Oryctolagus cuniculus: one gene and its partners. The protein of the gene in region 1 purifies or fractionates together with the protein of each later gene. This does not show direct contact. Links are inferred from orthologs where the notes say so. Each region holds a gene or a part of one and is shown on either strand. Other genes may lie near its edges.

Region 1 (3,645 bases):
CAGAAAACAAATTCAACAAATTGCTTTAGGCCAATTTTCAACTTTAAACAGAGTGCAGAATTATATTTCTCACCAAGATTATCTTTTGATCTTGTAACTCTTAAAATTTTAACTTTGGTTTCACCTAGGTTTTCAATATTAGATAATTCTGGACTTGAAGTGTAAAACGGGATTTCAGATGGACAATTAAAATGCAGCTGTGACATGTGACTGTATTCATTGTATCCCACACATTCTGTTTTACAGTGTAAAATCCTGGAACAACGGTTAGAACAGGGAATGGTATTCACAGAGTATGAAAGAATTCTTAAAAAACGACTAGTTGATGGAGAATGCTCCATAGCGCGGCTCCCTGAAAATGCAGAAAGAAACCGATTCCAAGACGTCCTTCCCTACGACGATGCCAGAGTAGAGCTGGTCCCGACTAAAGAAAACAATACTGGCTACATCAACGCATCGCATATTAAGGTGAGGGAAACGTCTAGGCTGATAAACGGCACATACAGTTTTGGGTTAAGGTACAAGAAGGTATCAAGTCTGTATTCTAAAAACACCCCAATTTTATTCTAAAAACACCCCAATTTTGAACCACCCTGATGTTAGGTGAAAAGTGTTTATCAGACAGAGTGAAAATCACATGTATTTTCTCCACACGGGAAACTGCTCTGTGCCCAATACTGTTAGAAGAGACGAGACATAGGAAGCTTCTATTAACTGGCTTCAGAATGTTATCCTAAACCTGAACGCTTCTCCTCACTCATAAATTTTCTCAGGAGCTACTGAAATGCTGTTTCTACCTCACCACATACTGCTGTGTATCTCTATATAACATGTCTGGGCTTTCTGATGGTGTTCACAAAAGCTTTTACTTACTAAGGTGCCATCTTTTCTCTCTGCAAGCTCCCCGTAGTCTTTCAAAAAAAAAAAAAGATTTTGAGAAGTAGAGTTGTATACTGAGAGAGGTAGAGACAGAGAGAGAAAAGGTATTTTATTTGCTGGCTCAGTACTCGGATGGCTGTGATGGCCGGAGCTGGGCTGATCTAGAACTAGGAGCCAGGAGCCTCCTCCAGGCCTCCCACGTGGGTGCAGGGGCCCAAGCATTTGGGCCGTCTTCCACTGCTTTCCCAGGTCATTAGCAGAGAGCTGGATAGGAAGAGGAGCAGCCGGACATGAACCAGTGCCCATGTGGGTTGCTGGTGCTGCAGGCAGAAGCTTAGCCTGCCATGTCACACCCCCAGCCCCCCCCCCCCCCCCGCCCCACATAGTCCTTTAAAATACCATTTTGCTCTTCAAAGAAGCACTTTTCCCCTGAAAAGAGTATGATGTCACTTAACTGAGGTAACATTGCATCCATCCACGTGGAAAAGCTGACACTTCATAGCAGGTGGCTGACTAAAGCCAGATAGCCCTTGGTTCATGCTGGCTAGATTCTTTATTTGGGGAAGGAGAAACGTCTGCATAGTGAGTGAATACGTAAGTATCTGGTCAGGTGTTTTTCTTAGATGTTTGATGACATCCGAGGCTTTCCGCAGACCATGCATTCCAGTGACCGCCTTACCCTGCGAACCTGCATGTAGTTTTCTGTTTTGTAAATTGGGCCAAATTTATTTTTAAACCAAGCATTGCTTTGGAATAACTCATTTAGCCTCTCATGACTGAATGGATAAGAACCGAGTAACACTGTGCTTACACAGTGGTGCTTCCAAGTCTGCAGAGACAACCTGGTATCTGTTCAGAAGTGGACAGATGCGGGCCTGACTCCCAGATGTACCGCTCACCAGCTGTGTCCTCATCTTACTAATCTCTAAATGAACAAGTGATGATCCCTACCCGGTAGGCTTCCCATTAGATGCCACCCCACTTCTCCCCCTGCCCCCGGCTTGTTTGCTGTTAAAACCTGTAGCCATCCACAGTGCCAGCCACTGAGTGGGTAGGTGGGTACTCAGGGGAGAGGATGTGGGGCCGTGCCTCAGGGACACTGGCATCCTTACATGAGGGTGTGGGTGGAACAGGGCTTTAGGCACAGCCCTGTAAACTTCGTAGGCAGTCAGAGAGTAGTTATTATGTTATTGGTGGAGTTGTGATTTAACACAGGTCTCCTGACTACATAGGCTGCAATTACACTGTTGTATTAGCTAGTACCAAGATGTTAAACCTTAAGTGGAGAATTTTAGTAATATTGTGGAGGCTTATCTTGACCCAGAATTTCAGAAGTGAGAGATTACATTAAGCAATTTTCCCTGGAAATCTGATGTTTCACTTGAGTTTTGACGTAATTCCCTATATTCTTTGCCACATGTTTAGTACTTCAAGAAGGGGAATTATGTTTGAAATTTGGAATATTATGATGTTGATATTATTTTTATTTTTATTTTTTTATTTTTTGACAGGCAGAGTGGACAGTGAGAGAGACAGAAAGAAAGGTCTTCCTTTGCCGTTGGTTCACCCTCCAATGGCCGCCGCAGCCGGCGTGCTGCGGCCGGAGCACCGCACTGATCTGATGGCAGGAGCCAGGAGCCAGGTGCTTTTCCTGGTCTCCCGTGGGGTGCAGGGCCCAAGCACCTGGGCCATCCTCCACTGCACTCCCGGGCCACAGCAGAGAGCTGGCCTGGAAGAGGGGCAACCAGGACAGAATCCGGCGCCCCAACCGGGACTAGAACCCAGTGTGCCAGCGCCGCAAGGCAGAGGATTAGCCTAGTGAGCCACGGCGCCAGCCAATATTATTTTTATAACAAAAGGAACCATAACAGCTACTTGTTGAATGCTTATCTTGTGACAGGCATAATATATACTAATTGACTCAGTCTTCACAACAACTCTAGGCAGGTAGGAAATATTATTTTTAAAATTTGTTATTTGAGAGACAGAGAGCAAGTAGAGCTCCCCATCTGCTAGTTCACTCCCTAAAGCCCACACACAGCAGCTGGGGCTGGGCCATGGTCTAGGCTGGCAAGCAAGAACTCAATCCAGTTCTCCCACAGAGGGCAGGAACCCAATTACTTGAACCATCGCTAATTCCCAGGGCCTGTATTAGCAGGAAGCTGGAGTCAGGGGGCCAGAGGCTAAGTGGGTATCAAGTCCAGGGAACTCCAATGTGGGATGTGTCTTAATCACTAGGTCAAATGCCTGCCCCAATATTTTTATTTTTATAGGTGAGAACTGAGATTGAGAGGTTAAGCATATGACCCCAGGTCATATAGATATTAATTCAATGTACATAAAAATGTTAGGGGGCTGGTGCTGGGGCGCAGTGGATCAATGCCCTGGCCTGAAGCACCGGCATCCCATATGGGTGCCGGTTCGAGTCCCAGCTGCTCCACTTCCGATCCAGCTCTCTGCTATGGCCTGGGAAAGCAGTAGAAGACGGCTCAAGTCCTTGGGCCCCTGCATCTGCGAGAGAAACCTGAAAGAAGCTCCTGGCTTCGGATCAGCACAGCTCTGGCCATTGTGGCCAACTGGGGAGTGAACCATTGGATGGAAGACCTCTCTCTCTCTCTCTCTCTCTGCGTAACTTTGACTTGCAAATAAATAAATCTTTTTAAAAAAACATTAATAGTAGAGATTGTACAGACAAGGGAAAAAATTAAGATATAAGCCTTTACTAATTCTGCTGAATATTCTACCATGTTCTACCATGAACACACA
Region 2 (4,273 bases), on another chromosome or scaffold:
TTCCCCATCGCCCGCAGGATCCGGTCCAGGATAGGTTGGGAGCACGTGGAACATTTCTCCAGGGTGGCCTGTTGGAAGGACGGGGAGCCGGGAGCTAAACAACCCAACGGGCGCCCCCACAGCCCGCCTGGCTGTTTCTACAGCGCCCTGCGTGTGAGTGAGAGGTGGACCTGCGTAGATCCGAGTCTGGCTTCGGCTTTTCTGAGCGTCAGTGTCCTGTAAACCGGGCACCGGTAGTAAAACTCCTGCCTGGCTGGGGTTGGAATTTAACCCTGTTCCCTTAGGAGGCCACCTGGGACGCCCACAACCCGGATCAGAGTGACTGGGGTGGAGTCCTGGCTCCACTGCCCGCCAGCATCCTGCCCGTGGCCATGCTGGGAGGCAGCAGATGATGGCTCAAGGACTTGGGTCCCTTCCACCCACGGGAGAGACCTGGATTGAGTTCCAGGCTCCTGGCTTTGGTGCAGCCCAGCCCCAACTGTCACAGGCAACTGGAGAGTGAACCAGCAGATGAAGCTGGGCTCTCTCTCCGCCTTACAAATCAATTAATAATAATAATGGTGATGATAGATAAAATGTCTCCTACTCCTACAGGACGGTGCTCCTTCCTTCCCACAATGCCTCTCTTCTTGTCCATCAGTCTGAGTGCCCCAGCTTCGAGCCCTGTTCCTTTGCTGGGCTCAGACATCCGGCCCCCACCTTGCAGGAAGGCCCCTGCCTGCCGCTGCCAGTGCCCAGACCCCAGTGTCCCCAGCCCCAGGGGCTCACCACGTAGCAGCTCTCACAGTACGCCCTCCTCTCCACGGCATAGAAATGCTGGCCCCGGAGCTGCGCCCGGCACGTGGAACACACAAAGCAGCCCACGTGGAAGACACGGTCCAGGGCCACGACCCCGGCGCCATCCCCGACCACGTCTTCTCCACAGCCGCCACATCGGCCTGGGGACAGGAAAGGACGGGGTCACCCCGCACAGACCCTGGCCAGACGCGCCACCCTCCCGTCCCCTGCCCGCGGCACCCGCTCACCAAAGTACTCCCCGCTGGGCGGGTGGTTCAGGTCCTGCACTAGCTTCTTGGTCAGTCTCTCCAGCTCCTCCTCCGGAGGCTGGCTCAGGGGGACCTGGGGGCGGGAATCAGGGGTTCCCACCCAGGGGGTCCAACCCAGGAGGCTCCTCCCCTGAGAGCTTCTCGGACCCCTCCCCTCTGCAATTCCCCAGCTGCTCCACGCCCCAGGCCTGCGGCTCTGCTCCCACCCACCCATCATCTAGGAAGGTCCTGAACTCCAGGACCCCTGGCTCACCTGCGGCCCGTGCCCGCCTCCTCTGGGTCCTCCTGCAGAGCCAGACACCCCGACAGTCTCCTCTTTCCCCCCCGGCCCAGGCCCACGGTGGCTCCGATAGCCACCCCCCCAGATGTCCCCTCGGCCTGGAAGAGGAAAGTGGGGGCCGGGAAGGGGTCCAGAGGCCTGCGAGGCTCCCCGCCGGGGCGGGCCGCAGCCTCTCACTGGTTGTGCCACCTTCACTTGCACCGGGAAGGCCGGGCCGGCTGGGGTGCTGGCGGTAGCGTAGGAGGCCGGTGTGGGGCCCCCATAGGGGGATGCTGGTGGCGGAGGGGCTGGGGCACCCCCTCCGTTGGGCTTCAGGCAGCCTGCGCGGTAAGCAGGGGGCTGAGGGGCCTCGTAAGCCTAGGGAGAAACACGGGGAGCAGTGAGCAAAGCCCACCCAGGTCTCCCCGCCAGTGGCTGATGAACACAGAGGGGAGCTGGGGGCCCTGGGGAGGGGGGGACTGGCACTGAAGACCCACAGAGGGCAGCAGGCCAGGCGTGGGGGCAGTCACCTGCCGCTCCGGCCTGCGGGGAGCGTGTCCACGGCCCCCATCCAGCTCGGCCAGCATGCTGGTCAGCGAGTCCATCTCAGCATCCAGACTGCCGGGGCGCAGGCCCCCCCTGTCTGGGGGGAGCCCCTGGGGAAGGAGCCAAAGCAGGGAGGAGGCAAGTCACCACGGCGCCCCTCCAGCCAGCCCCCCACCCTGCTCACAACATCGCACCTCCTCCCACTGCCGTCCTCACCTGGGAGCGCTGGGGTGCTCCGTGGGACCCCACCCAGGCTGGCCCCCGGTCATCGCGTCCCCCGGGGGGCTGGTAACACTGCTCAGATGGGAGGGGGCAAAAATTGACCCTGGGGTGGGGCTGGAGTGCTGGGGTGGGGGGAAGAGAGACCAGAGGTGGGGACCAGGGAGGAGAGAAGGGGGCTCCCTCCTGGACGCTGCCCTCCCGGCCCCTCCGCTCCTCCTCAGGGGGCCGTAGGCGGCCACAGGCGGCTGGCCCCCGGCTGGCAGGGGAAGGGGTAGCAGGGAGCAGGCTGGGAGCGGGCAGAGGTGAGTCTGGGCAGCCGGTGGCTCGCGGGCGCAGAAGGGGCTGCTTACCTGTTCCGTGGGTGGGTGGCAGCCCAGGGGCACCTCGAGGGAGTGCTCTCCCCTGAGGGGCTCTGGTGGGCTCCGACTGCTTTGGGGGGAGCCAGGTGGGCCCCGACATGGTCTGGAACGGGGTGAGGAGACCCCAGACAGCAGGCAGGGCCTCTCGGAGCCCAGGGCCTCTGACTTCGGCCCCCTCTTCCGTCCTACACCTCGTTTGGGACTCCAGGAAAGAAACTTTTTCTGGCTTTTTTTTTTCCCCTTCCTCCCTAATTTTGGGGACGGCCACGCCCCCTGTGACGTCACCGCATTCCTGGGGGAGGGTCACGTGGCCCCCTAGGCCCTAATCTGCGGTCCCTCCCCCAGTCGGCCCCCTCCTGCCGAGAGGGGAGGGCTCTCGCTGGGAGCCGAGTCACGGGGGTCTGCGGGCGGCTCGGGGTGGGAGGCGCAGGCCCGGGCCGGCCCGCCCGAGCCTGCACGTGGCAGCCTCGCTGCGGCCCTGGAAGCTCCCGGTCTCCACCCCTGCTACCACCCGACCTCTTCCCACCACCTCCCTCTCACCTACCCGCCAGCAGTGTCAGGCCAGCCCGTAGTGTTTTGGTCTTTTATTCACGGTCAGCAGTTAGAAAAATAAAACACAGGGAACGTCCCCACCCCAGGCTGAGGTAGCCTAGGGTCGCAGAGGAGACCAGCCCCTCCCGTCAAGGCACCAGTGGAGGAGAGGCGGGCAGGCGGGCGGGCGGGGGTACCCGTGCCCTGGGTCCCCTCCCATAGGAGGCGGGTCAGCCCGAGCCCAGGACACCTAGCATCTGCACCTGGGGGTCGGGGCGGGGGGGGCTCCAGGTCCCAAGGGCAGGGCCGGAGGGAGGTGGCCCCTCCCTCTTCATCGTCCAGGAATCCGGATGAGCTGGGGCCTGGCCTCAGAGGTCAGTGCAGGTGACAGGGGTGAGGCCGTGGACGAGCAACGTGGGGCCCAAGTCGCGGCTCAGGGTCTCCAGCAGCGCCAGGTAGCGGGGGTAGCGGGTGGGGTCGGCAGGCGGCCTTGGCAGGTACAGGAAGGTGAGGGCCGTGGTGGGCCCCTCCTGGCCATCCCTGGCCTCAGGGCCCCCGGGGCCCCCGCCTGTGCCGCGCCCCTGCTGGGCCCGCACCAGGGCGTTGGCGCTGCTCGCCAGGGCCTCGGCCTCCGCCTCTCCCCGCCCGCCGTTGACGAAGTCCCCTTCTTCCTCTTCCTCTTGCTCCCGGGGCCCGGCGCCCTCGCCCCACACCACCTCGCGCACCTCGGCCCGGATCCGCAGTTGGCTCAGCAGGGCCCGGAGCCGCCCCTCGGCCGCCCCGGGCGCCTCGCCCGGCCCCAAGCACAGGAAGATGCGGAGCCGCGCGCTGTGCCAGGCGGGCACCATGCCCAGGATGGTTGCCATCTGCAGCAGGAAGAGGCCACAGACGTCCACGTAGCCGGGCCCACCCCGGGGCCGCAGCAGGTTGAGGGGCCACACGTCCACGTGGTGGGGCGCCGAGGGGCCCCGGGAGCCGCCGCTCAGCCGCTCCGGGGGCAGCGCCCCGCAGGCCCGGGCCAGAACCACGTTCTTGTTCATTTTGAGGGCGTCCGCCATGGTGGCCACGTAGTCCTGGGGGCTGAGCGCACGGGGGCTCCCGGGAGCCCGTGGCGGAGGGAACAGGGTGCTCAGGGCCGGGGAGCCGCCCTCGGGGGCGCCGGCCGCGGGCTCGGAGAAGGCAGGGTCCGTGAGGAAGTGGTCTTGCGGCGGAGCGTCGTCGTAGAAGCCCAGGACCAGCGTGTTGGGCTTCATGCCACCTGGGGGCGGACAGGGGAGGCAGGAAGGGCACGCGCCCACTCGCACACGCTG
Region 3 (3,645 bases), on another chromosome or scaffold:
CTCATTCCAGCTGTTCCAAATATACACATGTTGTATCTTTCCTTATAGTTGTTGCTGTCTCTATATAAACCTTCCTGACAATTGAGTCTTGGGACATGACTTCTAAAAAAAAAAAAATTAAAAACCCTGAGCTAGAGCAATTGTGTCTCTCACCCCTCTGCTTATTTTTTTTACATATCTGTCATTAACTTAACCAGAAATACTTTTCCATCATAAAAATGTCCTTTTGAAATGCTCAAGCTCTTTAGGATGTCCATCCAACTACACCTGCCTTCTGATCATCGTCCAGTCTAGACTGGGTGTGAAGCCTATCGCTGTCTGGGACTTGCCTTTCCCATCATGCTCCAATTCCTTTCTTGCCTCTCCTAGCAATCCTGTGTGTTCTTGATCCCACATCTTCCATTTGACTGTCTATTTTTGAAGTAACAGGAATCCCTTCCTAAGAAAGATGACATGGTAAGTGAATTTTTGGAAATCCAGGATGTATGAAAATGTATTTTTTCTATGCACACATTCAACAGCATGGCTAGGTAAACTTTAGGCTGGATACATTTTCCCTCAGCATTGAAGGCACTGGCCCACTGTATTCTAGTTTCTACTGTTGATTCTGACAAGTCTGATGCCAGTCTGATTAGAGTGAAGCCTACTTTCTTTTTTCTTTTAGTCTCTAGAATTTTAAAGACTTTTTCTTTGGTCAGAATATACTAATATTTTCAAAATAAATTTTCTTAAAAATAAGTCTATTTTCACTTAGTACCTAGAATTTTGGTGAGCCTTTCAATAAAATTCCTTATGTTTGTGAACAATTTTTTGCCTTTATTTTAAAAAAGATTTTATTTATTTGAAAAGTAGAGTTACAGAAAAAGAAGCACAAAAAGAGACAGAAAGATAGATGAGAGAGAGAGAGAGAGAGAGAGAGAGAGAGAGAGAGAGAAAGAGAGAATCTTCATCCACTTGTTCACTCCTCAAATGGCTGCAACAGCCAGAGTAGGGCCAGGCTGAAGTCAGAACCAGGAGCCAAGAACTTTTTCCAGGTCTCCCACAATGGATGGCAAGGGGTCCAAATACTTCAGTCATTCTCTATTTAGAGTTTTCCAGGTGTACTACCATGGAGCTGCCCTCAGAAGTAGAGCACCCAGGACATCAACCAGTGCCTACATGGGATGCCAGAGTCATAGGCAGCAGCTTTATCCACTATACCACAATGCTAACCCCTAGAAATTTTCTTATTAAATGTTCAGAACTGGTCTCTCAGCTTTTTACATCACTTCTACTTTATAATTTTATCATTTTGCTCTACTTTCTAGCAAATTATTTGCTTCTACCAGCCAAGTTTTGTACTGTATTAAATTTCAAAAGATTTTCCAGTTCTTTTAGCATTCTTTTTTTTATAGCACCTGATTCCAGCTGTTGGGGCCACCTGGGGAGTGAACCAGTGGATGGAAGACCTCTCTCTCTGCCTTTCCTTCCCTCTCTGTGTAACTCTTTCAAATAAAAAAAAAAAATCTTAAAAAAAAAATCAATCAACTTTTTAAAAAAAGATTTATTTACTTATTTGAAAGAGTTACACACGCACACATACACAGACACAGAGAGAGAGAAGAGAGAGAGAGGTCTTCCTTCTGCTGGTTCACTCCCCAGATGGCCTCAATGGCTGGAACTGTGCTGATCCAAAGCCAGGAGCCAGGAGCTTCCTCTGGGTCTCCCATGCAGGAACAGCGGCCCAAAGACTTGGGCCATCCTCCACTGCTTTCCCAGGACTTAGCAGAGAGCTGCCTCGGAAGTGGAGCAGCCAGGACTCGAACCTGTGCCCATATGGGATGCTGGCACTGCAGGCTTTACCTGCTATGCCACAGCACCGGCCCCATGAACAGTCTATAAGATTACCAGACAGCAAAGAAAAATTAAGTTTGTTAATAGACCTAGTCGGCAAGGATATGTGACTTTCTCAAGGATTCAGTACTATAATACTGAGGAAGATGACAGCTACTTATTCTCAAGTGTGAGGTCTGGAGAGTAGACCATAAAGGAAGCTAGAAAATTGACATTATTATATGAGATGTCACACTCACCCTTACCAAAGTAAACCTAAAATCAAACTGATAGAATCTTGCAAATCAAAATCAGGTTTTTTCCCCTTCATACTAGTCACAGTTCAACTAGACGAGCAACAATCCATAGTTTCAAAAAGTATGTGCCTTGTAGCTAATAAACTAATACTGCAAATCAAATTAAAAGCCAGACTTCAAGTTTCTCAACAATGAAAACATTTTACATACATATTCAATAGTTATATATTGTCAAAAAGTTGCTACATAAAGGCAAGTCAAACAACCAAAAACATCCTTAACATACCCTGATGGCAAAGTTTCTGTGTTGGCATTTCCAGACTGTTGCCGTACAGATTCCGCACACCCCTCTGGCTGCCTTAATTTGTCAAAAGCAGAACTACTTGCAGAATTAGAATGATCAGCATCTAGTATGCTTCTAGCTTCAGATCCCAACTGTGCACTGGTAGAAGGTATACATTCATTGTTTTCTGAGGAAGTGGGTATCTCTTGAACGAGAGGGTCTTCAACAGTAGTGCTAGTGCAGTCTGAAGACAAGGTGGTTTCTTCAGGTACTACTGGAGTGCCAATGGCAGAAGCATGGTCAGTTGGCGCAGATGAGGATGATTCTCCATTAACTGAGAAGGGAAAGTTAAGATAATCTGTCAAGTAATAGCAAGGCAACCAATTTCCTAATCAATCAATACATTTATTCAGAGTCTAATCCAAACTGAACAACGTACGTACCAGGTAATGAAAACATAAGATCAAGGTTATATTTTCATTGTTCACATGTAATATATAAATGATAAAATTTTACGTTTACATACTATACCTTAAGGAAAGAGAAACCACCATTACAATAACAAGTGCTTTCCCTCCAAATGATCAGTTCTGAGAGAAAGCCTGCATGCACTATATAAAAACTGTAAAATGATCCCTTACAATCTTCTGTCTCATATGCAAGTGGTAAGCTAGTACCAACACTTTTGCCAATAATGAAAAATATATGATGGCTTTAATTATGATAGTACTATAGAGAACCATAAAAAGATTCAGGAATCCATTCTATACTTTCTAAAGAAATAATTTAGCACTAAGACCTAGTGATATAGTTTTCTTACTTCATATTTCAATGAGATTAATTGACTTCAACTATGTGTTACTATGAAAGTAAGTAAAAATAAAATTGCAAGAAGAGATCATTGAACAAAACCTATTAGAAAAGTACCATCAAGGGGCCAGAGCTGTGGGGTAGTGGGTAAAGCTGCGGCCTGCAGTGCTGGCATCCCTTATGGGTGCCGGCTTGAGTCCTGGCTGCCCTACTTCTGATCCAGTTCTCTGCTATGGCATGAGAAAGCAGTAGAAGATGGCTCAAGTCTTTGGGCTCCTGCTTCTTCCAGGAAGAAGCTCCTGGCTCCTGGCTTCAGATCGGCACAGCTCTGACCATTGCAGCCATCTGGGGAGTAAACCAGCAGATGGAAGACCTACCCACCTCTCTCTGCCTCTGCCTGTCTCTAGCTCTGCCTTTCAAATAAAAAAAATCTTAAAAAAAAAAAAAAAAGGAAAGTACCATCAAAGTTCCAATGAAAATAGC

The links.
Region 2: the proteins of PTPN21 (region 1) and TRIP6 purify together in Homo sapiens (affinity purification with mass spectrometry; 3 studies listed by BioGRID and IntAct, with this or other methods). This does not show direct contact. The link is inferred for Oryctolagus cuniculus from reciprocal best matches to the Homo sapiens genes PTPN21 and TRIP6.
Region 3: the proteins of PTPN21 (region 1) and WWP1 purify together in Homo sapiens (affinity purification with mass spectrometry; 3 studies listed by BioGRID). This does not show direct contact. The link is inferred for Oryctolagus cuniculus from reciprocal best matches to the Homo sapiens genes PTPN21 and WWP1.

Annotation. Positions count from the first base shown.
Region 1 is NC_091451.1:34,219,314-34,222,958, reverse strand, and holds part of PTPN21 (tyrosine-protein phosphatase non-receptor type 21), read left to right. Parts: intron 1-246; coding exon 247-468; intron 469-3,645.
Region 2 is NC_091450.1:43,008,867-43,013,139, reverse strand, and holds the start of TRIP6 (thyroid receptor-interacting protein 6), read right to left. Parts: upstream 2,850-4,273; 5' UTR 2,533-2,849; coding exon 2,424-2,532; intron 2,196-2,423; coding exon 2,068-2,195; intron 1,962-2,067; coding exon 1,836-1,961; intron 1,684-1,835; coding exon 1,300-1,683; intron 1,120-1,299; coding exon 1,026-1,119; intron 939-1,025; coding exon 769-938; intron 69-768; coding exon 1-68. Other genes in the region: SLC12A9 (solute carrier family 12 member 9), read right to left, coding at 3,332-4,221. UniProt on the Homo sapiens protein: Relays signals from the cell surface to the nucleus to weaken adherens junction and promote actin cytoskeleton reorganization and cell invasiveness. Involved in lysophosphatidic acid-induced cell adhesion and migration.
Region 3 is NC_091437.1:111,703,421-111,707,065, reverse strand, and holds part of WWP1 (NEDD4-like E3 ubiquitin-protein ligase WWP1), read right to left. Parts: intron 2,687-3,645; coding exon 2,356-2,686; intron 1-2,355. UniProt on the Homo sapiens protein: E3 ubiquitin-protein ligase which accepts ubiquitin from an E2 ubiquitin-conjugating enzyme in the form of a thioester and then directly transfers the ubiquitin to targeted substrates.